7 linked regions of the Canis lupus familiaris genome follow. The protein of the gene in region 1 interacts with the protein of each later gene in a biochemical or structural test. Links are inferred from orthologs where the notes say so. Each region holds a gene or a part of one and is shown in the gene's direction. Other genes may lie near its edges. The genes, in order: RPS6KA1, GRID2IP, MAGI2, MAST2, ARHGEF11, ARHGEF12 and PARD3B.

The links.
Region 2: the proteins of RPS6KA1 (region 1) and GRID2IP interact in a test that uses a peptide from one of them, tested with the Homo sapiens proteins (2 studies listed by BioGRID and IntAct, with this or other methods). The link is inferred for Canis lupus familiaris from reciprocal best matches to the Homo sapiens genes RPS6KA1 and GRID2IP.
Region 3: the proteins of RPS6KA1 (region 1) and MAGI2 interact in a test that uses a peptide from one of them, tested with the Homo sapiens proteins (2 studies listed by BioGRID and IntAct, with this or other methods). The link is inferred for Canis lupus familiaris from reciprocal best matches to the Homo sapiens genes RPS6KA1 and MAGI2.
Region 4: the proteins of RPS6KA1 (region 1) and MAST2 interact in a test that uses a peptide from one of them, tested with the Homo sapiens proteins (2 studies listed by BioGRID and IntAct, with this or other methods). The link is inferred for Canis lupus familiaris from reciprocal best matches to the Homo sapiens genes RPS6KA1 and MAST2.
Region 5: the proteins of RPS6KA1 (region 1) and ARHGEF11 interact in a test that uses a peptide from one of them, tested with the Homo sapiens proteins (2 studies listed by BioGRID and IntAct). The link is inferred for Canis lupus familiaris from reciprocal best matches to the Homo sapiens genes RPS6KA1 and ARHGEF11.
Region 6: the proteins of RPS6KA1 (region 1) and ARHGEF12 interact in a test that uses a peptide from one of them, tested with the Homo sapiens proteins (2 studies listed by BioGRID and IntAct, with this or other methods). The link is inferred for Canis lupus familiaris from reciprocal best matches to the Homo sapiens genes RPS6KA1 and ARHGEF12.
Region 7: the proteins of RPS6KA1 (region 1) and PARD3B interact in a test that uses a peptide from one of them, tested with the Homo sapiens proteins (2 studies listed by BioGRID and IntAct, with this or other methods). The link is inferred for Canis lupus familiaris from reciprocal best matches to the Homo sapiens genes RPS6KA1 and PARD3B.

Annotation. Positions count from the first base shown.
Region 1 is NC_049223.1:72,914,096-72,918,376, reverse strand, and holds the start of RPS6KA1 (ribosomal protein S6 kinase alpha-1), read left to right. Parts: upstream 1-1,481; 5' UTR 1,482-1,567; coding exon 1,568-1,702; exon of another isoform or gene 1,703-2,470; intron 2,471-2,491; exon of another isoform or gene 2,492-2,511; coding exon 2,512-2,628; exon of another isoform or gene 2,629-2,882; coding exon 2,883-2,964; exon of another isoform or gene 2,965-3,170; coding exon 3,171-3,251; exon of another isoform or gene 3,252-3,426; coding exon 3,427-3,506; exon of another isoform or gene 3,507-4,281. UniProt on the Homo sapiens protein: Serine/threonine-protein kinase that acts downstream of ERK (MAPK1/ERK2 and MAPK3/ERK1) signaling and mediates mitogenic and stress-induced activation of the transcription factors CREB1, ETV1/ER81 and NR4A1/NUR77, regulates translation through RPS6 and EIF4B phosphorylation, and mediates cellular proliferation, survival, and differentiation by modulating mTOR signaling and repressing pro-apoptotic function of BAD and DAPK1.
Region 2 is NC_049227.1:11,937,458-11,941,533, reverse strand, and holds the start of GRID2IP (delphilin), read left to right. Parts: upstream 1-1,276; 5' UTR 1,277-1,370; coding exon 1,371-1,405; intron 1,406-4,004; coding exon 4,005-4,076.
Region 3 is NC_049239.1:19,579,186-19,583,194, reverse strand, and holds the start of MAGI2 (membrane-associated guanylate kinase, WW and PDZ domain-containing protein 2), read left to right. Parts: upstream 1-1,209; 5' UTR 1,210-1,267; coding exon 1,268-1,568; intron 1,569-4,009. UniProt on the Homo sapiens protein: Seems to act as a scaffold molecule at synaptic junctions by assembling neurotransmitter receptors and cell adhesion proteins. Plays a role in nerve growth factor (NGF)-induced recruitment of RAPGEF2 to late endosomes and neurite outgrowth.
Region 4 is NC_049236.1:14,658,085-14,662,366, reverse strand, and holds the start of MAST2 (microtubule-associated serine/threonine-protein kinase 2), read left to right. Parts: upstream 1-1,482; 5' UTR 1,483-1,780; coding exon 1,781-1,969; intron 1,970-4,282. UniProt on the Homo sapiens protein: Appears to link the dystrophin/utrophin network with microtubule filaments via the syntrophins. Phosphorylation of DMD or UTRN may modulate their affinities for associated proteins. Functions in a multi-protein complex in spermatid maturation.
Region 5 is NC_049228.1:41,065,902-41,069,401, forward strand, and holds part of ARHGEF11 (rho guanine nucleotide exchange factor 11), read left to right. Parts: intron 1-2,446; coding exon 2,447-2,626; intron 2,627-2,710; coding exon 2,711-2,758; intron 2,759-2,934; coding exon 2,935-3,122; intron 3,123-3,349; coding exon 3,350-3,496; intron 3,497-3,500. UniProt on the Homo sapiens protein: May play a role in the regulation of RhoA GTPase by guanine nucleotide-binding alpha-12 (GNA12) and alpha-13 (GNA13). Acts as guanine nucleotide exchange factor (GEF) for RhoA GTPase and may act as GTPase-activating protein (GAP) for GNA12 and GNA13.
Region 6 is NC_049226.1:13,554,684-13,558,183, reverse strand, and holds part of ARHGEF12 (rho guanine nucleotide exchange factor 12), read left to right. Parts: intron 1-901; coding exon 902-977; intron 978-1,505; coding exon 1,506-1,673; intron 1,674-2,516; coding exon 2,517-2,604; intron 2,605-3,105; coding exon 3,106-3,192; intron 3,193-3,326; coding exon 3,327-3,406; intron 3,407-3,500. UniProt on the Homo sapiens protein: May play a role in the regulation of RhoA GTPase by guanine nucleotide-binding alpha-12 (GNA12) and alpha-13 (GNA13). Acts as guanine nucleotide exchange factor (GEF) for RhoA GTPase and may act as GTPase-activating protein (GAP) for GNA12 and GNA13.
Region 7 is NC_049258.1:13,109,824-13,113,930, forward strand, and holds the start of PARD3B (partitioning defective 3 homolog B), read left to right. Parts: upstream 1-1,307; coding exon 1,308-1,427; exon of another isoform or gene 1,428-1,494; intron 1,495-4,107. UniProt on the Homo sapiens protein: Putative adapter protein involved in asymmetrical cell division and cell polarization processes. May play a role in the formation of epithelial tight junctions.

The DNA of each region.
Region 1 (4,281 bases):
GGGCGGGGTGGGCAAGGGTTGCTGTGTGGCCTTGGCTCACCTCAATCCCTATGTCCCACCCAGGGTTATGCTCAGGGGCCTGAAGAGCCTGTAGCTTCTTATGACTGTAGCTTTTGTGGCTCTCTGAGGTCCCCTGAAGATGGGGCCGTGTCTGTCGGGTCCTAGACCTAGAATGGGAAGTCCCTGGACTGATCCCGGTACTGAGGGAGGGGATGGGCTTGGATGGGCAGGGCATGGCTCTCGCTGACTTACCTGCTCACCCTTTCCTGGCACTTGAGGCCTGCTGACCCCATGCCAGGCAGTAACTAGGGGAAGGGTTTGAGTGTCACTGGCTCTGTCACTGGTCCATTCTCAGGCTGGGTGAGTCACGGTCCTCTGGCCCTTGGTTTCCTGTATCTGAAATGGGGATAACAGATTTGGGAAACCTGGATCAGAGTCAAAGCCATCAGACTGCATTCTCAGCCCACTGTGTTAGTCCTGGGGCCTCTCCAGGCCCTGGCATGGGATGAAACCTCAGAGGTGTGTCTGCCATGAATACTGGGCTGCTCTCTAAGATGCAGGATGTTTGCAGGTGATATCCCCTCACCTCTTCCCCCACCCCACCTCCCAGAAGACTAGCAAGAACCCAGAGCTCTGCCCTTGAGTTCCGGGCCTGGCTTTCTGTGCACTGGCCTGGGTATCTGTCAGTCTACTTGGGCCTTACTGACTGGCTTTCTCTTTCTGTGTCCCACCTGCCTCTGTTGTCGGGTTCCTGTCTCTTGCCACTTGATGAGTGCCTGTCTTCACCTGTTGGGTACATGTCACGTGTTGGGTGCCTGTTGGGTGGTGTCCCCTTCTGTCTCTGCCTGTTGAGTACATGTCCCCATCTGTCTCCACTTGTTGGATGCAAACCCCCATCTGCCTCTGCCTGTTGGGTCCCCATCTGTCTCTGCCTGTTGAGTTCACGTCCCCTTCTGTCTCTGCCTGTTGGATATATGCCCCATGCACCTCTACCTGTCAGGTATGAGTTCCCTCCTGCCTCTGTTTCGGTGGGTACATGTCCCCATCTGTCTCTGATCATTGGGTAAGTGTTCTTCCTACCTCCCTTTGCTGGGTATGTGTCCCTATCCATCCTTGCCTGGTGGGCATGTGTACCCTCCCACCTCTGCCTGTTGGATGCCTACCTTGGTCTGTCTTTACCTGTTGATGCCTGCCTCTATCTGTTGGGTGTCCCTCTTTATCTGCCTCTGCATGTTAGATGCCAGTCTTTGCCTGTTGGGTACCTGTCTCCCCCTCAGCAGCTGGAGTGGCATGGGGCTCTCCCTTTGTAGGCCCACAGGGAGGATGGGGGAAGGGGGAGGGCCGGAGGGCAGCACTCAGGCAACGGGGAGGGGGGCAAAAGAGAGGAAGGGAACGTGGTAAGATTGTAGGCCTGGAGCTGGGAAACCACAGGCCCTAAGTGATTGGCGGTGCTGAGCTGGGCCCAGCCCCCGCCCTCACCCTGCACATCCGCCTTGGGCCCGGCCACCTCGGAGGCAGCCCCGGACGCTGCCTGCTCCTGCCATGGTGCCTTGGCCCTGCCGGGCGAATGGAGCAGGATCCCAAGCCGCCCCGCCTGCGGCTCTGGGCCCTGCTCCCCTGGCTGCCCAGGAAGCAGCGGCCCAGGACCAGCCAGACCTCTTTGCCTGCCCCTGGCCCTGGCTCTGGCCCCAGGCGGGACTTGGTGAGTGTGCCCAGATGTGTGGTCCTGGCCCAGCTGTGGTCCTTGGAGCAGGTGCCTGGGCAGCTAGTTTGGCCTTAGTTGGCTTCCGGCTCTCCTAGCCCAGGCCTGGCCCTACTGGACAACTGGACCCTGCCCAGACTTGCTTCCTGGGGAAGTGAGGAAGCACTTCAGGGCTCCAGGGCAATCCCGGCAGATTGGAGGGAGGGCAGAAGGGTCCTAGAACAACTAGGACCAGCAACGGATTTTTAGAAAACTCCTAGAAGGAAGTTTCAAAGAGTGGATCATGGAGTCTCGGCCTTAGCTCCTGTCCACCCCTGACTGGCACTTACTGGGTTGGTGGGGGTGGTCTCTAGTGACTCTTGAGTGTCTGTGCATCTGAGCACTGTCCTTCTGGCCAAGGATCCTCTCATCCATTCTGACCCGGAACAAAAGCCTGGCTCTACCTCCCCGGTATGAGAATACACACTACTTCCTATTGTGGCAAAACTAACACCTTTGCAGCAGGGGGAGGGGAGTCCCACAGGCAGGACCTGGGCTGTGCCTGGGTATCCCTTTGGGTCTCACCAGGTCAGAGCAGCAGGGGCAGTAGGAGCAGTGCCTCCCCCTGACTCAGCACCTTGGTAGTTTGACCATCCCTGGCCCTTGAGGCCCTTTTGGTATTGATGAACCAGCAGGCTGGCCCCATCAGTATGGCCATCTGGTATGGCTAACAGGGCCCTGCCTCCAGGAGGAGTAGGCTAGGATGGGGACCATATTCCCTGCTCACCTGGATGGGACAACCATACTCACCAGCTCTGTTCCTCCATCAGGATGAGGGCGTCCTAAAGGAGATCTCCATCACGCACCATGTCAAGGCTGGCTCTGAGAAGGCCGACCCATCCCATTTTGAGCTGCTCAAGGTTCTGGGCCAGGGATCCTTTGGCAAAGTGAGTCCTGAGCCCAAACTGGGAGGGCAACTCATGTCAGAGGTGGGGGTTAGGGGTCACTTTGGGGTTCAGGATCAGAGGGCAAGGGTTGATGGGTCTGAGGGGAGGGCAGGAGGTCACTCTGGTACCCAGGGAGGCCCGAAGGTCAACCTAGGACTCTGGAAAATTAGAGGTCAACCTAGGACCCAGAGGATAGGAGCTGATAGGCTTAGTCCCCTCCCCAATTTCTCTGCTTTTTCCCATTGCCTTCTCAGGTCTTCCTAGTGCGGAAAATCACCCGACCTGATAGTGGGCACCTGTATGCCATGAAGGTACTAAAGAAGGCAACGCTGAAAGGTGAGTGAAGGTCACCTCCCCAAGCAGAGCCGAACTGGGCACAGGAGATGGGACTAGTGGGATGGGCAGGGTGCCAAGGGCTCTACTCTGGGCACTGCCGTGAGATGGGAGGGACACATGAAAGAGAGAGCCCTTCTTGGCCAGGGCTTGGGGATGACTGTTTTGAGGGGCTAGATTATCTGTGACTGCGTTTCTCTTCTGGCCAGTGCGTGACCGCGTTCGGACCAAGATGGAGAGAGACATCCTAGCAGATGTGAACCACCCATTTGTGGTGAAGCTGCACTATGGTGAGATCACAGACCCTACTTGAACTCCCACCCGACCTACCAGCCTTTGCCCTTGCCTGTGGGCTACTACCTTTCCCCTAGGTCACCCCTACCCCAGCAGACAAAGGGAGCTTAGGGTAGAGGGGCAGGGCCCAGGGCCCAGCTGGCTCCACCATTGCCTTTTCCCTCTCCCCAGCCTTCCAGACGGAGGGAAAGCTCTATCTTATCCTGGACTTCCTGCGTGGTGGAGACCTCTTTACCCGGCTCTCTAAAGAGGTAAGCTGACACTTGACTGCCATTGGGCCCCGGATTGGAGCTGGAGGGACAACGAGACCTCTTGTCCCAGGGCTCAGTGAAGAACATGTCCAGTGTGGCTTGGACTTGGGACCACTCAGGCTTGCCCCGCAGACCCGACCTAGGAACCCACTCTGGGACAGAGCGTACACCCTGGCAAAGCCTCAGAGTTTCTCCCAGGATGGAGGAGGAGGATCAGGCCATGGTTCTGATGCCACTCTGATTCCCAGGAGCTGAGGGTTCTTTCACCTCTGTACCTCCATTCTTCCGAGGTTGCCCTAGGCAGGGCTGTGAGGATGGGAAGAAATCCAAATCTGCCCAGAAATTTAGATATTTTAACATTATGTCCCATGTGTTAACCAAAAGGATTTTAACTGACATAAAAGAATTTGAGCCAGATATTAAAATGGGACCATTAATATAAGTCAAACTTGAGAAGAGAAACACGCTTTTAAAAAAATTTAAATGTTATTTTAGTGTTTGAATAGGTAATACGTTTACATGATTGAAAATAAAAATATTGAGAAGTCTTCCTCCCACCCCATCCCTCTATGCCCCCATAGGTAAACATTTTTATTGATTTCTTGGTTAAGTGCCCCAGGTTTCTTTAGTAATACAAACCATTCTGATACATGTTCTGAATTCCAACCCCCATTTCCTTACAAAAAGTACTACCCTGTATATACTGTTCTGCATCTTGCCTTGTTCGAGATGATGTATCTTAGAGATCAATCCATATCAGAACATGGAGAGACTC
Region 2 (4,076 bases), on another chromosome or scaffold:
TCTCCCTGGCAGGGCTGAGGACAAGGCCTGGAAGGATGTGGCATGAGTGCTGGCTCTGACTTCCTAATGCTGCTGGGGAGAAAAGCAGCCCTGATTGGTCACAGGAAGGTGGTGGCCTCACTGGGGCCAGGAACGTGGGGGCTGAGGTGTCGGGCAGCGTGGTTCGAACCCAGTACCAGTCAGACCATCAGGCCTGTAGGTGCCTCTCTGTGACCCGCTGCAGGAACCTGTAGGCAGAACCATGTAAGATGTTCCTTCCTTCTAGCGACTGAGACACAGGGAGAGTCCTAGGGTTTTCTGCCTCTGCAGCTCCAGTCTGTCTGGGTAGTGGCCAGTGCCTGGTGAGGAGAGAGCCTTGTGTTAATGTCCCCCAAGGAGCCCCTCCTCAGGATGTCCTGGGCTGGTTCCCAGGTATCTATGTGCCCTTCCACCCGCAAGCGGGACAGGACCACCGAGAAATGACAATGCAGTAGCTTCCCTGCAGTGAGCACCTGCTCTGACTTCCACCAGCAGCAGGCCCAGAGCCAAAGGTCCAGACTCCCTTTCTTGTTATCACCCTCTTTTACCTTTAGCTGGTCCTCCCATCCTCTCTCCCAGGAGGAGACCCTCTGTCCTCCCCTACACCCCAACCTGACTCTCCTTCCTCATTTTCACTCACTCATCAGATCTCATACATTCCCTTTCCTCTGTGTTTCTTAGAAGCTAGCCACTTGCCCCACTCCACACCCTTCCCTGTTCCCCTCTCAGCCTCACCCACTCCCCGAGTGCACCAAAACCCCTGGGGTCCCTCCTCCTCTCCTTAAATCCAGAGACCCTCCCCGGGCTCCTCAGTGTTCTCAGAGTTCAGCGATAGTATTCAAGGCCTCCCTCTCTAGCCGCATCTTGATTGGCGCTTTGCCCTGGGTAGGTGAGGAGGGCTTCCCCTCGCGGACCAGCTCCCTAGCGCAAAGGCCACACCCTCCGGAAAGCCTTCGCAGGCTCTACAAAGAAAGTCGGGGCTTCTTCCGAACTGTGGGGTTCAGTCTCGCCGCAGCCAGGTGCCAGGGACTCGCCACGGTGCCGGGGACCTGGGCGCGGCGGCCCGAGAGGTTGGAGGCGAGACACCTGGGGGCGGCCGAGAGGAAGCGGCGTTGGCCGCGCTGAACCGCCCCCCAGCTCCCCGGGAGCTAGCCGGAGGGTCCCCCGTGGGGGCGGGGCGGGGCGGGGCCACCCGTAGGGGGCGGGCGCGGGGCCGCGGGCCGGGCAGGCTCGGGAGGGGCCGAGTGCGCTCGCCCGGCAGAGGCTGGCGGAGTCGCGGCGCCCTCGCTCTGCTCGCGGGCTTGGCCACCCATACCTGCCGGCACCTGCCACGCCGCCGTCGCCGGCTCCAGATGGGGAAGGACCAGGGCTTCTCTCGGCACTTTCGGTAGTTCCCCCCCGCGCCCCGCGCCCCGCGCCCCCGGGAACTGTGCGCCCTAGGCGCGGCGGACCCGCCTCAGGCGGCCTGAGAAGGGGTGGGGCTGGGGTACTGAGGTGGACACTCACCCGGCGCAAGGGGGGCGAGCTCCCCGCGTTGGATGCCTGGAACCTCCACGCGCCCCTGGGGGTCGGGATGGGGGTCGGAGGGCACCGAGGGTCGGGACCGGAAAGCCCTCTTTCCTTTCTACGATTGGGCAGGTCTAGGGAACTGGGGATGTGGTGGAGAGAGAGAGGACCCTAGCGCAGCCTCTAGGAAGACTCTGGACACGGATTTGCACCTGACCCCCCAGGCAGAGGGAACGGAGCTGGCTGACAACATTGTGTGGCCAGGGAAGAGCCCTGTGGTCTCCAAGAAGCCTGTTGGCATAGCAGGGACCTGGACATCCTGGGGCAGCTGTACTGTCAGGGTCAGAGGAGCAGTGATGTGCCACAGTGGTCCATGAGGCCCCATTGTGCCTGGCTGTCCTGGGGTGGGGGGGGGGGGAGTGGATTCAGAGCAGGCCCAGGGCTAGCCCAGACTCGTGACTGCATGGAGGGCCAACACAAGCCAGGAAGGGCATCTGGCTCATGAGGCAGCCTTGCGCTTTGGCTTAATCCCAAGGACGCAAAGCAGGGAAAAGGCTACCAATCATCTCCCACCTGTGCACTTGGTGACTCACCATGGTTACCACCGGGGTGGGGGGAGGTGAGGGGCAAGGCCTTTTTGAATTGCTGCTGGAGAGTAGGGCTGGGATGGTCATCTGGCCCCTGCCCAGGTTGGACCTAGGGTCTTCTGGAGCCTGAGGCTAGAGCCCAAAGCATGAAGTGGACAATCTCCAGCTTGTCATCCATCTTTGACTGGGCATGAGGCACATGGTAGATCTGGGAGGGTGTGGGTAATGTGCAGGCCAGGCAGATGGAGGTGTCAGGTTCCAGGGACCTTGAGTAACCATCTGGGGAATGAGGCCTAGGCTCTAGATTTTTGGGAATCACTGTGAATGGGTGAGGATGAGCATCAGGCCAGAATGCTCCTGGAGGAGTTGAGTAGGTCTTTCATTTTGGCCTCCTAGAACATTCAGACCCAGAACAGAGGTCACTGAGGGGCAGCCTTGATGCACCCGCCTCCTGGAGGATCCACATTCCTTCCCCCCCTAGCAGGCAGCTTATACTGCCTGCCTGGTCTTATTAAAATCCTACCCATAGAAGTCAGGAGAACTAAGTGGAGGACTCCAAACAACCTCAGAGGAGTTGTATTTCAGTTGGCTGCAGAGCCATTGTTCCCATCTTCCTTCCTCCTCCCCACCATGCCCTTGGCACTGGCTCCTGGTACAAAGAGCATGGAAGGGAACGTTGGGATGCAGTCAGGGAGGCCTCACTAGCAACCAGAACTTCAGAGGCCCTCAGCAGAGTCCTGCCACAGTGCTGAGGCTCAGAGGCTGGCCTTCTGTCCAAGCTGTGCCCAGGGCCAGCTGTGTAGCCCTGGCAAGTTAACAGATCTCCTCTGAGCCCCCTGATCCTCTGCCACAGAGAGTCCACTAGGATGTTAACTTCTGCCATTACTTGGAGAGGTACGTTTATGCTGCTGGCGGACCCCCCCCCCCCCTTGTTTCCTGAGTCACTGAGTCCCTCCCCGTGCCAAACTCTGACTGGTCACTATGGCTCTCAGCCCAGCTACAGCTCTAGCCCTCAGGGAACTTCCAGCCTTGCAGAGGACACTCACAGGTACCAGGGAATCATCCCAGGGTGTACGCTCTGCACAGGGTCCATCCAAGCCTCCCCACTGCCTCCCATCACATCCAGGTGCCCTCTCTGAGAGGAGGAACCACAGAGCCTTCAGCTCTGAACCCAAGTGCCTGGCTGGCACAGACAACAGAGTCTTACTGAAGCATGTAAGATCAAACTCACAGAGGGCCAGCGCTGGGCGTTGAAGGTTGAGCCCAGTGTAGCTAGGAAGCAGAGAGAGGACCCTGGGCGAAGGGCTGCAGCCAGGGCAAGAGTGTAAGAGGTAGGGCTGGATGTGGCGGTTCTGGCAATTTCTGAAGAGGCAGCTATAGAAAGGGTTGGGCAGAGAAGCAAGCAGGACGGCTGGGAGTGTGATGAGTGTCTGGAGGAAGTCTGACCGTGGCCGGGCTGTGGTTTCAATTTCCTCCAGCAGACTTGCCGGGCATCAGGTAAGAAGAAGATGGGTGGTGGGGGATCCCTGCTGGGGTTTGGCCTGGCAGGTGCAAGAGCATGAAATGAGGAGAAAGGCCAGAAGTGGGAAGGCAGAGACAGGAGGAGGAAAAGGTCCACGGATGGGATTTGGGGGCCCTGAGTAATGGGGGCGGTCCGATTGTGACTTTTCCGAGGTGGAGAGCCAGGCACCGCGGTCCTTGTGTGCCCACCCCCCCGCCCCCGCCGGTTGGGGCGCAAGTGCCAGCACCGCGGGGGAGAATGAGGCGCCGGCTGCTGGTTCCCTTGTTACCCCTCGGGAGGGGCGGGGGGAGAGCCTAGGTCGGCGCCCAAGACAGGAGACTTTTAGGGCGCGGTCTGGGGACGCGCCCCGACTCAGCGGTCCTCGCCGGCAGGATCTTCATCCCCAAGAAGCACCGAGCACGCTTCGACGAGGTGGTGTCGCAGGGTCTGCTGGGCAAGCTGTG
Region 3 (4,009 bases), on another chromosome or scaffold:
AATCCAAATCTGGTCTGTTTGGGTGGACTGCACGCACGTTCTCAACTGCACTTGCCTCCCACTCTCCTCATCCCAGACATCAAAAACCTGAACTGCTCGGTGCTTTTCAAGCTTTGCTCTAAAGAGAAGAGTGGGCGTGCAACTTTTTTTTCCTTTTCTTTCTCAAACGTATCATTTTGAAATAAAGCAAATGAAATTCATTTACCAGTTCCTGGAATTTTAAAACTCACTAACATCCTATTTAAGATGAGTGAAAATGAGCATCACCTTGGCGCCCTGGTCCTCGCCTCTCCGCCGGCTGCAGACGCGGTGGGGCCGGGGCCGGTGGGGCCGGAGCGGGTGGGCCCGGGGCCCCGGCGGTGCGGAGCTCGCGCAGAGCCCCTGGTGCCCGGGGCCGACCCGCGGGGGCCTCCTCCTGCGGCAGCGGCCCGAGCCCACGAGCCCCCCCCCCCGCCCCCCCCACCCCGGGATGCGCTGCCCCGACCCCCGCCCCGGGAGTCCGGCGAGGAGTGCGGCGGGGGGGGGGGGGGGGCGGAGGCGACGCCGGCCCAGCCCGTCCCGGGCGCGCCCCGCCCGCCTGCGCGGCCCTCCCCGGGGCACCTCGCGGGTCGGGGCGTCCGGGCGCCCGCGCAGCCCCGCGGCCTCCCCGCGGCCTCCCGGCGGCCGGTCCCCTCCCCGCGCCGCCTCCTCCCGTAGGCTGCCCGCGGCCCAGCCTGCCTCTCTCTCCGCCTTCACTACCGGGTCAAGCTGCGGAGGGAGGGAGCGAGCCCGGCGAGCCCCCCCGCGGCCCCACTAGTGCACACTCACTCACACTCGCGCGCACACGCACACGCGCCCCGGACCTCGCCGCGGCCACTGCGGCTGCCGCGGGCCCCGGCCCCCCCCCCCCCCCGCCCCGCCGCGCGCAGGAGCGGCCCCGGCCCCGCGCCCCCCCCGCCCCCGCCCCCCGCCCGCCGCGCGGCTCCCGCTCGCCCAGCCCGCCGCCGCCGCCGCCGCCGCGCTCCTCCGCTGCGGGGCCACAGCCCCGAGTGTCATTCCAGGGACAGCAGCCCCGGCCGAGCCGCCCCCCCGCCCGGCCCGCCGTCCCCGCCTCCTCCCCCCGCAGCATCCACGCTCCGTCCCGAGACGAGGGGACGCGCCGGGCAGAGGGGCAGGAAGGCAAAGTCTGATCCCTCGCCGCGCGGCGCCCCGGCTCCCCGGGCTCCCCGCCCGCCTCCCCCTGCCCCGCAGCAGCCCCTCGGGAGCCGAGGCCGCCCACCCCACTGCCATGTCCAAAAGCTTGAAAAAGAAAAGCCACTGGACGAGCAAAGTCCATGAGAGTGTCATTGGCAGGAACCCGGAGGGCCAGCTGGGCTTCGAGCTGAAGGGGGGCGCCGAGAACGGGCAGTTCCCCTACCTGGGGGAGGTGAAGCCCGGCAAGGTGGCCTACGAGAGCGGCAGCAAGCTGGCGTCGGAGGAGCTGCTGCTGGAGGTGAACGAGACCCCCGTGGCGGGGCTCACCATCCGGGACGTGCTGGCCGTCATCAAGCACTGCAAGGACCCCCTCCGCCTCAAGTGTGTCAAGCAAGGTGAGCGCGGCCGCCCGAGCGCGCGGGGGGCGGGGAGGGGGCGACGGCGGGGCCGGCGGGGGGCGCCCCGGGGCGGGGAGGGGGCGACGGCGGGGCCGGCGGGGGAGCCCCGGGGCGGGGAGGGGGCGACGGCGGGGCCGGCGGGGGGCGCCCCGGGGCGGGAGGGGGGCGACGGCGGGGCCGGCGGGGGGCGCTCCCGGGGCGGTGGGGGTGCGACGGCGGGGCCGGCGGGGGGCGCCCCGGGGCGGGAGGGGGGCGACGGCGGGGCCGGCGGGGGGAGGCTCCCGGGGCGGTGGGGGTGCGATGGCGGGGCCGGCGGGGGGCGCCCCGGGGCGGGAGGGGCGACGGCGGGGCCGGCGGGGGCGCCCCGGGGCGCGGGGGCGCACGGGCAGCCGCGCTGTGCAAGGTGCTCGGCCTGCGGGACCCCGGCGGCGCCCGCGAGCTCGGGGGGCGCCTGGCTGCGCGTCGGGGCTCGGCCCGCGGTGCACGGGAGCCTCGGGGCGGGCGCAGGAGCTGCCCCGGGCGCCCTCGGGGCGGCTGGGCGACGGCCAGGGCAGGGACGCGGCGCGCGGGGGCTCGCCCGGCTCTCGGCGAACTTTTCCCGGTCGGCCCGTGTCCCCCCGCCCCCCCGCGCATCATGTGGGCACCGCGCGTCACGTGCGCCCTGACTAACGGGCGCTCCCGGGCCGGCGGCCGCAGAAGGCTCGAGAAGGCGGGCGCCCCGGAGAGGAGCGGGGGGCGGGGGCCGGCGGCCCGGCCTGGGTCCCCGGGCCTCCCCGGAGCCGTGCCGGGCCGCGGCCGCCGCAGCTTGCAGGGCTCGGATGGGCTCCGATGGGCTCGGCTCTGCCGAAGGGGAAGTAGGTCCCGGCGGAGGGCGGCCCCGGGCCCGGCGAGGCCCCCGCCCCGAGCCCGCACGTGCGCCCCGTCCGGCCGCCCCCGCCCGCGCCCGCGCCCGCGCCCCCGCCCCCGGGCCTGCGCGCAGCCCGCCCCGACCCGGCGACCGCCCCAGGACACCCTCCTGGGGGACCGTCCGCTCCATGACGTCCGCTTAAAAAGTCAGCGAGGGAAAGAGAAGTCTCGGGCAAAATTTCTAAAGTACAAATTGCCGCACAGGACAGCGTCCTCACTGGGCTGCCGGGGCTGCCGGCCGCCGGCTCTAGGCCCCCGGAGCTCACAGCTGCGCGCCCCGAGCATCCAGGAGTTTGGTAGGAAGGCAGGCTCCTCTCTTGCTACCGTGCTGAGGCTCAACCAGAGGGATGCGTGTGAACGTATTTGATGCCATGATACTGTCTTAGGGCGGTAGTTCCCAGGGTAGAGTCCTTCCTGCCCGCGCCTTGCCTGGCAGCAGCTCAGCATTTGGAGGGGTCGGTGGCAGCGGCAGGCGGTGCGCTGTGAGATCCCACTAATGACAGCATCCTAATGAGGTGACGGTCCCACTGTCATTGGCGGCGGTGGCCACATTTTAGTGTTGTCTTCTTTCTGAGCACCGCATGGTGAGGAGGACCCCGGCAAACTGACTCTAGCAGCAGCAAGACTGTGTCCAAAAAAAGAAAGAGAGGCAGGTCAATCGGTATCATAGATCTATTCCATAAAATCCAATAGGAAGGCTTGGAAAAGTGAGGGCATGAAAGCTATCATTATATATGGAAAGGCTATCAAATAAGAAAAGGAATTTTGACTATCCGGTGATAACTTCCACAGGGCAAAAGTAAGATAAATTCATAGAAAATTGTAAAGCATGAAACAAACGTCTTTGTTTACATGAAAAAGATGAGCTTTCTAAAAAAAAAGAGAAAGATGAAGAATAAGATGAGCTTTCTAACGTAATTTGCCAAAAATCTTGGGCTATATTGTGAATTCATGAGCTCCCTGTCATTTGGGGTCTTTATGAAGAGGCCAACATGACCAGATGCCGTGAGTCCAATGTAGGATGGGGCCTGGACTAGATGTTATTTAAATCTTGCAGTGATTTGATCCAAGGTACTCTCTGATCACTCAACTTCTATATAATATTTTATTTGAAAGATCATCGCTTTTAGAACTCACGGAACATACAAATATAAAGTGATATATATATATATAAATATATAAAGTTTTCTAAGGGAAAAATCTCTCTCCTTTCTGTATTCACTCTCAGTTCTGGGCTTCACTTGGTCATTGATGATTGATGCTTGTCATGATATTCAGAGTCCCCGGGAACCTGATTCACGTCCTGAGTCATTATTGATCAAAAAAGAAAAAAAAAGTGCTTCCCTTAACTTTTGTGGAAAAATATAATCTTCTTGTATATTCTTCTAAATATGATGATTCATATATGCTATTCCTTTATTGAAATCATTCTTTTCCTTGCCAAACAACATATAGGTTTATTTTATGGATCATAGTAAGCAAAGTAAAATTTCCATACTGTTAGATAATGGTGCCTGTATCTCTTGGGTTTT
Region 4 (4,282 bases), on another chromosome or scaffold:
TTCTTATAATGGCTTTTTGGAAGATGGGTTTGAAAAGAAAAGGAGTAGATGTAGGCGAACCAGTTTATAAAGTTTCTTAGTCAAATAGGTGAGAATAAGTAAGAGTTGAGCTGAGGTGGTGTCAGTGGGATGGAAAGAGGACACAGATTGGAAAGATAGTAAGGTTATAGAAGCAATGTTACTTGTTGATTAACTGGACATGGGAGCAGAAGGGGAGGAAAGAGTCTAGGATGACAACCAAATTTCTGGTTGAGGCAACTAGACGGATGGTGGTGAGGAACTGAAACTGGGAATACAGGAGCCAACTGGTGATAGGCTGTATATTTGGTTATGTGTGTTGGGTCTGGTGTCTGACAGACCTTGGTTTGAGTCTTGGCTTTGCACTTATGAACTATGTCATATTGAGCATGTTATGTAACTTGAGACTCAGTTTCCTCAATTATAAACTGGAAATAATATAACTTTTGTTTGTGTATGTATGAATAGAATGCACAGCCTGGTTTCCAGGAGGCACTCTATAATGCTGGCTATTATTACTTCCCAAAGAGGGTTTAGGGAAGAGGCCCAGGATAAACTGAGAGAACTGTGTTCAAGACAAAAGAGGAAAAATACAACGTTGTGGCAGCCCAGCTGAAGCCAGAAGGAGGAGGCCAGACAGGGCTGAGCTACAGCCACGTTGCTGTGAAGATGAGTCACTGGAAGTGCAGGCAGGGCTGCCCAGGCCACAGCTGGACTGGCTGTGGCCAGGCTGGACTGGGCTATAACATGACTTCATTGTCAGTGGGGAATCATGAGAATTGTTCCAGAAGCCTTTGTGTCCTCCTGTTCCTCCCAGAAGGAATCCATCATGTCTTCCTCGTCTATAGGACTTTCCATACCCTGTCTTACTTTCTGGAAGCAGCAGGAAACAGTAGAAAGGGGACAGAAAGCAAGAATTTGAGTCGTCTAGTTTGATCAGTGGTTTGCCGACTGACCTGGCGCGTGTCACTTTACCTCGGTCTTCTTGCTTTGTAAGACGAGAATGACCAGACCTGCATCCAAAGTGTGACGTGAAGACAGTTGGCGAGTGCTCCGTAAAACTGTCAATAAAGGACGGTGGGTGCTCCATCAATTAATTGTATATTTTGTCTTCTTGTTCCTGGTCCCTCTCCCGCTCGATCCTTGAAGACACTGATTCAATCCTAACTCCTTTTCAGATCCCTAGCGCTTAGCTTGGCGGGGTACACAATTTCATGAATGGATGAATGAAAGAATCAATGAACGCGCTCCGCCGCCGCAGCCGCGCCGGGAGCCCCGCCCCCTTCCGCTCTGCTCACCTCGCGGGGAGGCCACGGGCGGGTCTCTCGCGACCGTTCGCCGGCGCGTGCGCGGGAGGCGGCGCGCGGCCAGAGGCGGCGGGCGGGCTCCCCGTGCGCGCGCGCGGGGCGGGGAGGGCAGGGGCGGGGCCGGGCCAGAGGCAGGCGGGCGGGCCGGCTGGCTGCTGGCTGTGGAGCCGGCGGCTGTGGCGGCTGTGGCGGCGGCGGGTGGCCCGCCGAGCGTGTGCCGGGTGGGAGAGGACGAGGCGGCGGGGATGCTGCCTCCTCCCTAAGGAGCGCCGAGGACGTCGCGGCGCTTGAGGCCCCAGAAAGCGCGGAGGAGCTGCGAGCTGGGGTCGGTGGCTTCGGGCGCCCGCCCGGCCATGGTGGCCGCGGGCGGTGGTTGGCGCGGCAGCGCTGCGGCCCGGGGCCGTGCGGGGCCGGGACAGTCGCGGTGCTGACGCCCGCGGGGCCCAGCCGCGGATATGAAGCGGAGCCGCTGCCGCGACCGACCGCAGCCGCCGCCGTCGCCGGCCGGCCGCCGCGAGGATGGGGCTCAGCGGGCGGCGGAGCTGCCTCAGCCCCAGCCCTTGCCGCCGCGCCGGCGAGCGCCGCCCGGGAGGCAGCTGCTGGAGGAGCGGGCCGGGCCCTCGGGGCCCGAGGTCAAGGAGCAGGTAAGGCGGCCGGCCGGCGGCCGGGAGGGAGAGGATGGGGAGCGGGAGCCTGAATGGGAGCAGTGGGGGAGGGGGTCCTCCGGCGGGAAGACGGGCTAGGGCTTTGGAGGGGTGGGGACTATGTAGTTCGGCCGGAGGAAAGGAAGGTCTGGAGAGGCAGAAAAATGGGGAGTGGAGAAATGGAAGTCATGGCCTGGGGTTGAATGGAAGTGGGGGAACAAGGATTTGGAAGAAATGGTCCTGTGGGCGTCTGTAGTCAGGGATACTGGATGCGAAGAAGGGACGCTGGAATGTGGCCTGGGAGTAAATGAACTGCAAAGAATAGGCTCACTAGAGGGACACTGAGGAGTTGGCCCGAGGGGTAAATAGTGTATGTAAAGTAGGGAAAATCAATGTGATGTAGTAAATGTTCTTTACCAGAGGTTGTCTTGACTGTTATTAAAAACGGATGTCATTTCTAGGCATTCTTTGATTTGGCCATTATTATATAGTCTTGGAGGAGTGCGTTCAAATCTTCAAGATTCTTTTCCGTAACGATCTGTTTCACGAGAAAGCACTTTTAAAACACCTGCATATGTGCAATTCCAAATCCAGCGCCGCGAATAGAGAATTTACAGGGATAGGCTCTGTCTTCTGGGAGTTTACCACTGAAAACATCGTCTTAGGAAAACGGAGATAGAGAGCAGTGTGAACGTATTCGTGGAGTTTCTGAATGGACAGGATGTGTGTATAATTCATTAATCAAGCGTAGGTGTATTTAGAAATAGGGGATAAAGGTCAGTTGTATCAGGGAGGAGAAAGTAGCTGTAGAGGGTGCAATGAGAGGAGACTGTGTGGTCCTGACTGCATGGATTTTGCAAAAACATATTCTGTAGTAATGAACTCTATGACAGTTTTCCTTTTGTTCAGCCCTAGTAACTTCATCCTTGACTTTTTCAAGACCTTTAGTAGATTTGCCTCTTTTTCCATCAGTTAAATAAGTATTTTACATAGACATCATTCTTCATTGTTCAGTTTCAGTGATGCACATGCTGGCACTTGGATTTTTTCCTTTTGTTCTTTCACCTTTTATTCTACACCCAGCTCCGAGTAGACTGCCTCATTCCCTATCTCTGCCCTTGGTTTCAGGCCACTGAATGTTGTCCCTGGCTATAATTTACTCCCTCATTCTTGTTTTTTTTTTAACTTTTAAAGATTATTTATTTATTTATTTGACAGAGCGCGAGGGAGAGCGCGTGAGCACATGCAAGTAGGCAGAGTGGCAGGCTGAGGGAGAGGGAGAAGCAGACTCCTTACTGAGCAGGAAAGGAAGCCCACTCAGGATTGGATCCCAGAACCCTGGGATTATGACCTGAGCCTAAGGCAGATGCTTAACTGACTGAGCCACCTAGGCGCCCCCCTCATCCTTTTTAAAAATATTCTCTGCAGTACCTAATTGAAACTTTTAAGATGTTTAATCCTTTAATCCTCTCCTGACTTAGTTTACTTGATTCAGTTGACCTGCTTCACTGAAGAGTTCAAGGTTATTTGATTTTTCCCTTCTTCCCTACCTCACAATTATGTATTTATATAGCAAGCAAGCAGGCTCTCCACCCAGTGTGGGACTTGAACTTACGACCCTTAGGTCAGGAGTCACATGTTCTACTAACTAAGCCAGCCAGGTGACACTCTGTCTCAAAATTTTGTTCACTCATCCTTTGCTTAAATTCTAGAGAAAGAAGTATTCATCCTCCTCTCGGAGGCTATCCTTGTGCTTATGTGCTTGATTTCATCCCCTCTCATCTGATATAGGCCCTTGTTATGTGTCTTATTTTCTTTTTGTCCTATACCTCCGAAAAAAGCAAAATACGGTTCCCTGGATTGTGTAACTTACCTAAGTTACTTTGTTATCTCTTCTTTGCTTTATTAGCAACCTTCTTGGAAAATGAGTTTGTATTCACTGTCTCAGCTTACTTACCTGTATACATTTCTCATATTACAATTTGGCTTTTTTTTAAAAAAAGATTTTATTTATTTATTCATGAGAGACACAGTGAGAGAGAGGCAGAGACGGGGAGCCTGATGCAGGACTCGATCTCAGGACCTAGGGATCACAACCTGAGCCGAAGGCAGATGCCCAACCACTGAGCAACCCAGGCATCCTGGCTTTTTTTTTTTTTTTTTTTTAAGTTTGTTTATTTAAGTAACCTCTACACTCAACATGAGGCTCGAACCCATGATCCTGAGATCAAGAGTCCCATGCTCTTCCAACTGAGCCAACTAAGCACCCCCCCTTTTTTTTTTTAAGATTTTATCAGTTTATTCATGAGAGAT
Region 5 (3,500 bases), on another chromosome or scaffold:
GAGGGGGAGGCACTAGCCACCTTCCCAAGGAGGGGAGCCTGGGTTAATCCCAGCTGCTTCATCGACTCCACTGCACCATAAGGTTCCCACTGCAGAACTCACAACTCTTCCCACCACCTTCCCGCCTGGAGATCTTTAGGAAGAGATGTGCTGTATTGGTGGTCAGGCCAGCAAAAGGCAGAGCTGGGCCCCTGACCTCCCAGCCCAGGGACTGCTTCCCCTTAACATTTCCTTTGGATCCCCGGGCTACTCCGCAGCCTCTGTCCCAAGAACCAAGAATGAGCTAGATGGTGTAATAGAGCAGCTACTCCAGACACCCTAGGTGACAAGCTGGAGAAGACTGGGGCGGGGTGGCCAGGGGAGATCCTGGGAGATAGGGAGGCCACACAGAGATGGTTGTGGACACGAGGAGGAGAGCTAGAGACTGGGTTCTGCAGCCTCAAAGCAAACCGCTCTTCCCCTCTCGAAAACAAGAAGGGGGCTGCACACTGTGGCATCTCGCATGCCTCCATCTCGGCCAGGTTCTAATGAGACCCCTTCTGGCATTGGACTTACTCTTGACTGTGGTGTGACAGCAGACATGTCCTGTTTCAAATCCTCTAGCCAGCACTTAGCAAAAACCACCCCTGGTCAGAAAGGTCCGTATGCATTCCCTCAGTTACCCTCGAGCTGTACGTAGTACATGTGGTCCTGCATGTGCAGAAATAACACGCGCGTGCAACCAAGCCTGATCCACAGCGCAGGGGTGTTCCCGGCCTCCAGGTAGCGGCCTGGGTAGTCAAACCATTTTACCTGTGAAACCATCGTCACACCATGAGTCTGCCGTTCTGTGCATACACGGGGTTCCTCTTGTTGCAGTAAGCCTCTGTAAGCTTCGGCCGTGTGGGCAGACTGCTGTAGGGAGAACTGACAAAAATTTAAGGGAAGAGGAAAGCTAAATTTGTCCTGAGCTGAGAGCTTGAGCTCTGATATTAGTGAATGAATTAAACATAGAAACCTGAGTTAAAGATGTGTCAAATGAAGTTATACAGACAGAATAACAGTATTTCGAGGATAACTTGAGGCCTTTTGCAAACTTGTGGTCTTAAAGTTGCTAGGTTATAACTGTACCCTAAGACACTCACTCAATAGACTCCCAATCCCCTGTCAGTGGCAGCCTTTGGCCTGGCCCATGGCCGGCTCACTGGCAATCTCAGCAGCACAGAGGGGGCAGAGGCCAGCAGATAGAAGGCACACCTTAGTTCCAGAAAGTGGTATTTTAGGGACTAGGGGCCAGAGGTGGGTGTGTGCCCCACTCATGGGGAGGAGTGTTACTCACTTAGGGGTTTGGGAAGGGAGGCACTCAGCTCTGCGGCTCCAAGAGTCTCGCTAGGTGGCTTGTCCCAGTGCTCAGGTGGCCCGCTGTGGGGCACTGGTGAAAGTGCTGTTAGCAGGCTCAGTTGGAGGCATTCTAGCAGACCTCAGGGTATTCTAAGGGGATCAGCTGGCAGCGTGGCTTCTAACCCTCAGGACCCCAGGGGGGCAGCTCCATGTGAGTCCTTCGCAGTTCAGAGAACCGTTATAAATGCAGACTGAGATGCTTGGCTCCTTCGCTGCAACCCTGCTGTGCTTTTAAGCACCCTGCATGCTCTCCAGGCCGCCTGTGGTCCTAGATGCAGGGCAGGATGTAGATCAGTGATAGTATCAGCAAGAACCAACCCAGCAGGGCCGTGCAGGGAGGCACCATCCTGGGGCAGCCAGGGCTCAGAGATGCCAGCTATCACAGGCCTCATGCACTGCAGGATGCAGAAAGGAGCAACACTCAGCCATCGGCACCTCAAGTCCCAGAGACACTTGATGGCCAAACATGGCAGGCCACAGGCAGGTTCTTGCCAGTCTGTAGACAGGCCCTCCCGAGCCAGCCTGCCCCCAGGAAGGGAGTGGAAGCTAGGAGGTATACTACAAGTTAAGAATGGGAGAATCTACACCACAGCTTGGAAGGGCAAGAGCCTGGCAGCAGGTAGACACTCTGCCAGGCCTGTGAGGAGGCCTGGATGGGTGTGTGAGGGTAACACCTATAGCTCCCTGGAGAAAATCCTATAAAAGGAGAGCTCTGCCTCTAGCAGAGTCCATGGTGGGAGCTGACCTGCTCCAGCAGAGGCAAGAGGGACTGGCCACCACACGGCCCAGAGCAGAGCCAGGGACCTGGTAGTCCCTGGTAAGGGCCTCTGGTGTCCAAAGCTTTCCTGGAGTGTTTGGAGTCTTTGGCATCTGATCTGTTGATCCCAGATTTCACCTTCCTGGTGGGTCACAGGGAGGAGGAGAGGCAGGAGATGGTAGGACAGCTGTGGGAGTTGTCACTGAGAAGTTTGGGCCCTGCAGGAGGCCACAGGCACCCCGAGTCAGGGCAGCCGATAAAAGCTTTCGGGGACGTGAGGCCCCAGGGTGTCTTCTTCTACTTCCCCAGCTCCCGCTCAGAGATTCGCTTGGGCCGTTCCGAGAGCTTGAAGGGTCGGGAGGAGATGAAGCGGTCTCGGAAGGCAGAGAACGTGCCCCGCTCTCGCAGCGACGTGGACATGGATGCAGCTGCAGAGGCGGCCCGCCTCCATCAGTCCGCCTCCTCCTCTGCCTCCAGCCTCTCCACCAGGTGGGCAGGGCTGGGGCAGTCAGGGGCTGGGCTTGGCCCAGCGGGGTGGGTGCGACGGCACTGAGAACTGACCTCTCTCCACAGGTCTCTGGAGAACCCAACCCCTCCCTTCACCCCCAAAATGGGCCGCAGGTGAGTGACAGCCCAGCCACGCTCCCGTCCCTGAGTGACTGGGTGGGTGTGCGTCTCCTCCTCATGGCCACTGGTTTCCCGCGGGCTCAGGACAAACGGCGCAGTACACAGGAAACGGAGGGACAGAACCCTCGTGTGAGTCCCTCCTCCTCGTGAAGCTGCGCCTTCTCCCCCAGGAGCATTGAGTCCCCCAGCCTGGGCTTCTGCACTGACGCCCTCCTCCCTCACCTCCTGGAGGATGACTTGGGTCAGCTGTCTGACCTAGAGCCCGAGCCTGACACCCAGAACTGGCAGCACACGGTGGGCAAGGACGTGGTGGCCGGCCTGAGCCAGAGGGAGATCGACCGGCAGGAGGTCATCAACGGTGAGGCCACGTGCCTCTGATGGGTGGGCAGTGAGTCGGGCAGCACCCAGGGACAGGTCCAGGCTGGGTCACCATTCCTGCCCTTGGGATTGGGGACATTGCCATACCATCTGACACCAGTGCTCGGTGGCCTCAGAAGTGAAGCGGTCGTCACTTTGGATACCTGCTGACCTCTTTTTTTTTTTTTTTTTTTTGTCTTGCTCCCACTCTGTGACCACTCTGCTCAGAGCTATTTGTGACAGAGGCCTCCCATCTGCGCACGCTCCGGGTACTGGACCTTATCTTCTACCAGCGGATGAAGAAGGAGAACCTTATGCCTCGGGAGGAGCTGGCCCGGCTCTTCCCCAACCTGCCCGAGCTCATAGAGATCCACAGTGA
Region 6 (3,500 bases), on another chromosome or scaffold:
TTACATGAGGCTTTTGTATTAAGGAACTGCTTAGGATTTTCTTTCTTGTGCTCTTTCAGTAGGGGGTTGCTTTTGCAAATTGTATTTGGTGGCTGGTAGACTAGACTTGTATCACAGAGAGCAGCTTATCAAAAAGCACGCTTAATACGCTTAGCCTTCACTTCCAGAGGATGAGATTTTTCTAGAGCTACCTATACTAAGGGCTGATTTTCTTACTAAATTATTAATATTTAGTAGGAGTGCCTGGGTGGCTCAGTTGGTTAAGTGTCCGACTCTCGATTTTCAGCTCAGGCCATGATCTCAGGGTCCCACATTGGGCTCCATGCTCAGCAGGGAGTATGCTTGGAATTCTCTCTCTCCCTCTACCCTTCCCTCCCTTAAATGAATGAATGAATGAATGAATGAATGAACGAACGAATGAATCTTTTGATAAAATAAATTATTAATATTTAGAGCAAGATCAAGTACTACTTGGACTTTTTCATGAGTACTGTTCCTTAGAACTTTGTTTGGAACTAGAGCCTGGCACTCACAGGCCTCTTACAGATAGATAAACTATGCATCATCCTCATCTAGCTATTCATAGAATAATTAGATGGGCTGCAAATCCAGTGGCTGAATGCTTGCAACTTCATTTTCATAAGCAATTATCATATATTTATTGTGAGACTTGGAAGGCAGTCCTCTGAATGTTTTTCAAGATACCTCTAATTTTTTAGGAAATTGTATGCAGCTTACTGTAACTTGATCTTTATTCCATGTTCAGCAGTTCGCAAATACCAATAATGATAGTGAAGGTAAATGGTATCTTTTATATAAAGAATTTATTGAAAAGAGACTCTATGGCATATCGTCTCAGAGCTTGGAAATAATTTGTGTGTAATTCTCTTTATTTTGGCAGAATTTGGATTTAACGAAAAGGAAGATGATTCATGAAGGGCCATTGGTCTGGAAGGTGAATCGAGATAAAACTATTGGTAGGTATCGTGTCTGTCAGTTTTACGGAGAGTGGAGAAATTAAAGTTCCTTTGGGCCAAAGAGAAGAAACAACCGTTCACAGATTTTGGCAACAGCAGTGAGCAGTGCTGCCCTGTGTTATATTTGCAGATCTGCTTATGGTATTTCTTTATAGGTGAAGTACATTAAATGTTCACTGAGGGGGAAAAGCAGAAAAATTTGTCATGATTCAGTCATGTCTCCATCATTCTTGTATTCTAATGAGCTCTCTAATAAGCTTTCTTTAAACCACTCCATTTCAAACTATCTATGCTGAGGAATCATGGTGGCTTTTTTTTAATTTCTTGTCAGTCACCGACTGACGCTTTGGTGCGATACAATATAAAAATGAATTATTAAAAAATGGAACTAAAAAAGACAATAGCAAGTCAATTTTTTAAATGTATTAGCTTTAACAGAAATAAATTTTCTCTGTCAAATTGTTACAAAGTTTATAAAACACATCTCAGTTTCTACACTAATCACCTTCTCTACATTTTGGTTTCCAGATCTATACACATTGCTGCTGGAAGACATTCTTGTATTGTTACAAAAGCAGGATGATAGACTGGTGTTAAGATGTCATAGTAAGATTCTGGCATCCACGGCTGACAGCAAACACACATTTAGCCCTGTCATTAAGTTGAATACAGTGTTGGTTCGACAAGTGGCAACAGGCAAGTATGTCCACAGAGTGACAGTAGCTTTCAGGTTCATCATAAAGTTGCATGAGATCCTTGGTATTGTTTAAACAGCCCAGCTGGTAGAGAGTTTCTGTTTCATTCTTAAACAAATGAAATGAAATTTGGTTACTACTTAAAGAGTTTCTACCCCCAAATTCTTTGGGGTGCCTAGATTCTCTGAGCAATTTTCTGCTCTTGAAAATTTCCTGCATACCGCTTTAATCTTTAGTCCATGTTCACATCATTGACAGACTACCACGGAAGATGGTGAATTGAGGGATAATCCCAATGAAAAGAGTTACATGAGAGTGGTATGCTTTTTGATTTGTGGTAAAAGAGCAAACAAAAACAGAGAGGTGGGTGTAGTTTGGGTTTTTTGAAATCAGTTTAAGTTAGCAAATTATACATTAACCGTAGTAACAGTGGGATCCCTTTTCAAACTTGTCAGTTCCATAGTGGCAAGATAAGCTGACGACCTCTTTTCTTCATCATTTACTAAATTTCATTAATTAACAATTTAGCAACAGGGCAATTCAAAATAAATGCAAAAATGTCATCGTGTTGAGTAATTCAGATGTATGTACACCTCCTTGTTTCTATGTGGAACCCGGGCTAGTTTTTAGGATCTTTGTTTTATTGGAGTATAACATAGACAATGTAACATATGATAAGTTACACAAATTTTAACTTTATAGCTTGATGAATTTTTACAAAGTGAGCACATTAACCTTTACCCAGATTAAGATGCAGAATAAACCAGGACCCGAGAAGTATCCTTCACGGCTTCTGTAGGTCATATCCATGTTGTGAGAGTAATTTTTGTCTTGTTTCTTCCAGATAACAAAGCTTTATTTGTCATCTCCATGTCAGACAATGGAGCCCAGATTTATGAACTGGTGGCACAGACTGTTTCTGAAAAGACTGTGTATGTATTAGATACAGCTACCTTGCTCTAATAGTTTTTGTTATAGATATATAGAATATAACATTCTATAAACTTGGTTTTTGTAATACTTCGGGAACCAAAAACTATATTGAAAAAACCACTTCCTCTATATTTTTTAAGAGATACTGTCTAAGAACGTGGTCCTCTCAAGATTGATGTCCCTTGTTTTAGCGCTATGCTATTGAAAGTATCTTTTCTAAAGAACAATTCTCAGAAGCATCAAGCAAAGGTTTTTAATGCGTGCTGTATCCATAACATTGTTTGCTTAGGTTTTTCTTGAAGGTCCAGTGTTTTTTATCATCTCTACCTAATGTTGCCAAAATAAAGACACTCTCTGGTGGAAATAGAGTTTTTTTGTTGGATTGGCTTGGTTTGGTTTCTGGTTTGTTTTTGTTATTATTTCTTTCTGAGTGTATATTTAAAGGGCATTTTTTTTTCCTTTCCCTTTTGGATTTTGGATCCTTTTCACACTTCCTGCAGCTGGCAAGACCTAATCTGTCGGATGGCTGCATCAGTGAAGGAACAGTCCGCAAAGCCAATCCCATTGCCACAGTCACCACCTTGCGAGTGAGTGTGCATTTGCGTTGTAGTAGGACTGACTCTGTGTTTTGATCAGGAAAGGAACGGATGATCCTTACCTTTCACTGCAGTGATGTTTGGGCATCTCTTGAAGCTGAAAGATTGTTTTCTTTCTTGTACAGAGGAGACAACGATGAAGAAGCAGCTCCAAAGTTAAAAGTGGAACATCATAGCATTTCAGTCCCTGGTTTGCAGAGTCCAGGTAAACTGATCCATTAGGTTTACCTGGAAGAATGTAGTCTATACATTACTTATTAAAATGCAAAGAAACTTTAAGTCTTTTGGTTTATGCAGTT
Region 7 (4,107 bases), on another chromosome or scaffold:
GTTCCTTAACCTCCCTTAGCACATTCTTCATGCACAAAATGGGAAACACATTTACCTCCCAGGGTCGTTGTCAGGCTCAAAGGAGCTCGTTGTTACGCGAGCTGAGAATGACACAAATATTTTTTTGTTGAGTTTTTTTTTTTTTTTTCAGATACACCTATTTTAATTGGTGGTGAACACTCACCTGAGCCTCAGCGTGTTTAAAATGGTCTTTGTAGCCAGATGCACAACAGGAGGCCCATTTCAGAAGGATACATGGAAGCATATGCATCATTTCTGGGTCTGGGATGTGACCTTTGGGGCAAGAGTTTCCTCCTCTGTGATATGAAGGGTTGGCTGCAGCACCACGTTTATCCCCCAGAACCCTTGGGCTTTGCCAGAGGACAGAGTCGGTGTTCTGCCGCAGACAAGGCTCCTGGCAGGCCCTCGGGCCAACCTGCAGCTCAGCACCTGTAAGCCGCCACTCCCCGGGAGGGGGAGGGGGAGGGGGAGGGGGAGGGGGGCGGGGGTGGGCGTGGCGCCAGGCACCTGCTCCGGACTCTGCTCGCGTCTCGCTCCAGTCCTCCCCCCCCCCCCCCCCCCCCCCCGGTCGGTGCAGCTCCGCAGCCTCCCAGCTCGAGGAGGGAGCACCCTCCAGGGTGCTTCAGGAGATCCGGTTTCAGTTCCCGGGCGGGTGGCTCTCAGGTCCCGTTACAGGTCCCCAGGGCTCGGCGGCTGTGCGGGAGGGCCCGGGCCGGGGCAGCGCTCGAGGGAGGAGGGGCCGAGGCTCCCGGGGGCTGCAGGCCCGGGAGCGCCGCGGCCCCTTTAAGAGCGGGCTCAGGCCAGCCCCGGGGCCGCGGGGGCCCAGCGCGCTCGCGCCGCCGCCGAGTTGATCCGGCGCAAAAGTTTCCTCCCAACTCCGGCCCCGCGCGCGCCGCCGCCGCCGCCGCCCGCTGCAGCCCGGGGCCTGGGGCCTGGGGCCTGGGGCCTGGGGCCGCCGCCGCCGGGGCAGGGCCGGGGCAGGGCCGGGGCACGCCCGGGGCACGACCGGGCACGACCGGGGCACGCCCGGGGCACGGCCACAGCCCGGCCCGCAGCTCGGAGCCGCGGGTCGCCGGGCCGGGCCGAGCGGGAGCCGGAGCCCGCGGAGGAGGAGGAGGGGGAGGAGGGGGAGGGGCCGCGGTGCCTGCCCCCCCCCCCCGGGGCACCCGCTGCCCGGGACGAGCCCCCCCCCCGGGTCCCCGCTCGCCGTCAGCCGCGGGCGGAGGGGGCGCGGCCCGGAGCCCCCGCGGTCGGCGCTGTGCCCGGGGGCGCACACCTGTCCCAGCATGAAGGTGACTGTGTGCTTCGGCAGGACGGGCATCGTGGTGCCCTGCAAGGAGGGCCAGCTGCGCGTCCGGGAGCTCACGCAGCAGGCGCTGCAGCGGTACCTGAAGACCCGGGAGCAGGTGAGCGCGGGCGGGGGGCGAGGCACCTGCCGGGGGGCCCCGCCCGGGACGGCGTCGGCCGCTACCTGTGCGCGCAACTTCGCTACCTGTGCGGCAACGCCGGTGACCTGGAGGAGGTCTTTGGGCGGGTGGGGAGGGCCTTGCCTCTCAGGGTGGCGGCAGCAAAGGCCGCAGGGCGGTCGCTGGGGGGCCTCGCTGCGGATGCTCGACCCGGCGCCCCATCCACGCCCCCTGCCTCTGAATCTGGGGCGAAACAAGCTCCCCGGTGCTTGGAATGAGGAGTGAAGTTCGAGAAGCGCTGCTTTGGAAGGTGTTCCAGAGAGCGCTTCTCTCAGGCGAGTGTTTGCAGGTGCTGCTTGCTCCAGCTGTGATTTTTTTTTTTTTAAGATTTTATTTATTTATGAGAGACATACAGAGAGAGAGACAGAGAGAGGCAGAGGGAGAAGCAGGCTCCATGCAGACAGCCCCATGCGGGACTCGATCCTGAGTCTCCAGGATCACGCCCTGGGCCCAAGGCAGGGGCTCAACCGCTGAGCCACCAGGGGATCCCCCTCCAGGTGTGATTTCTTTTTTAAATATTTTATTTATTTATTCATGAGAGACACACAGAGTGGGGGGGGGGCAGAGACACAGGCAGAGGGAGAAGCAGGGTCCATGCAGGGAGCCCCATGCGGGACTCAATCCCGGGAGCCCCATGCGGGACTCAATCCCGGGACTCCAGGATCACGCCCTGGGCCCAAGGCAGGAGCTCAACCGCTGAGCCACCCGGGGATCCCCCTCCAGGTGTGATTTTTGACCAGGGCGAAGGCCCGCTCCACTTCTGTCCCTCGGAGTTACAAGGTTGGTTGGTGCCAGTCGCAGACCCTTGGAAGTTACAACTGTTGGGGCCTTTGGGATTGAACTCTTGGGAGCTGTTCGCCCTCAGTGACTGGAACAGGAACTTCGGTGGAAGGATGCTGTTTGCCACCACTAACCCGTCTACGTTTTGAGTATCTTTAGTTCTATTAAGTATTTACTAGCGAGCGTGCTGTGTCAGGCCCTGCGTGACTACTGAGTAGATGGTTCCCAGCTCTGTCCCTGAAATCAGAAACAAGTAAAAGTTAAGTGACTATTACTTTTAGGTGTGCAGTGCGTCTTCAGAAGACTTAGCTAGACACTGGAGTTCATGATAGGTGTTTGGGTATCATACTGGGATTCTGTGTCTTCTTGATTGGAATCTTTAAATGAAGGCATTGAAAAGCACCTTTTTCTTTTTTGAATCTTCAAATAGAACAGTCTACCCCAAATCCTCTTCAAAAATGACAAGTCATAAACTCTTGCATTTGAGATCAGTGACTCTCTTAGTATTTGTTCTCCTGCTTTGAGAACTGTAGAAATGGCCTGTAACACTGCATGAGTACCCCATTCCCCCCCCCCCCCCCCCCACTGTTACAATAGTGTATGCTGTCTGGTATTGTGTAATTCAGTTAGGAACTGAGATTTGCACAAGTATCTAGTTCTTGGAACTGTGTTTCCCTAACTTTTGGAAGTAAGCTAAGGTTAATAATAACATTATTCTAGACAAATTATTACATGTCATTGAAGGATCATCTTAATGAGATCAGTTTACTTTTTTACTAGTTCAATGGTACAAATAATTTATACTCTAACATCTTGTGTATTTAGAAGCTTAGAACATGGAGCTGTCCAATAATAGAAGTAAGCTACATACTTATAAATAACAGAGGACTAGATGAAATTCAGTGTGTTATAATTTGATCTTAAAAAGTGTTAAAAAGCTATTGATATCCTGTACCGAAAGCATAATTTATAATATCACAGAACCTGTAATGTAATTGTATTGATCAGTTTACTGTTATTACCAGATATTACATTTTTCTATGTTTACATTTCTATGTTAGTGAATGTGACATTTAAAGGTCACCTGCAGTTTATAAATCCTCCCTCCCTTCTTTGGCTTTTAAAATCTCAATTTAATAAGTGGCAAGTGATATTTTTTCTTCCCCAAATCTCTCTCTCCCATAGTTTCATTTAAATAGTATTGTGATCATAACAAGGCTTAACTAATATTAAATGGTATTCCTAATGGAACTAAAATGTCAAGAAATAATCTGTCAAATTCCATGCTTTCATTCATTGAATATAGAAAATAATGAGAAAAGACCAGAAATGTCAAAATTCAATTTGAAAAACAACTTGTCGTCAGTTCACTTTCTTTAAATCAGTGAAAGAGATTTAAAAAGCTTGCTCGCCTGGACAGCAAGGTTTTTAGCCCCACACTCAGTAATAAAAACATAACGATAACATGAGTTGTGCTTACTCTCTGCAGACAGTGTTGTAGGACCTTTACGTAAGTTAAATGGCCTCGTGAAGCAGGTAATGATAGTTTCTTTTTACAGATGGGGGCAGAAAGAGACAGGAATATGAGTGACATGTGGTAGAATTGAACCCAGGAACCGAGTCTCTGGATCCTTACTCAGAGTCGCTGTGCACAGCCCGGTAGTTTATTATGCATTGGAATTTATCCATCTTATTTATTTTTTAGTTTGTTTTACAAAGGCCATCCCATTTACAAGCTGCTGTAGTAACCTATCAACCTAAAGATGGCCATTTTGTTTCTTGCAGAGACTTGTGACCTGCACAGGTTCCTCTTGATTATATCTTATACAGTATAGGCCTA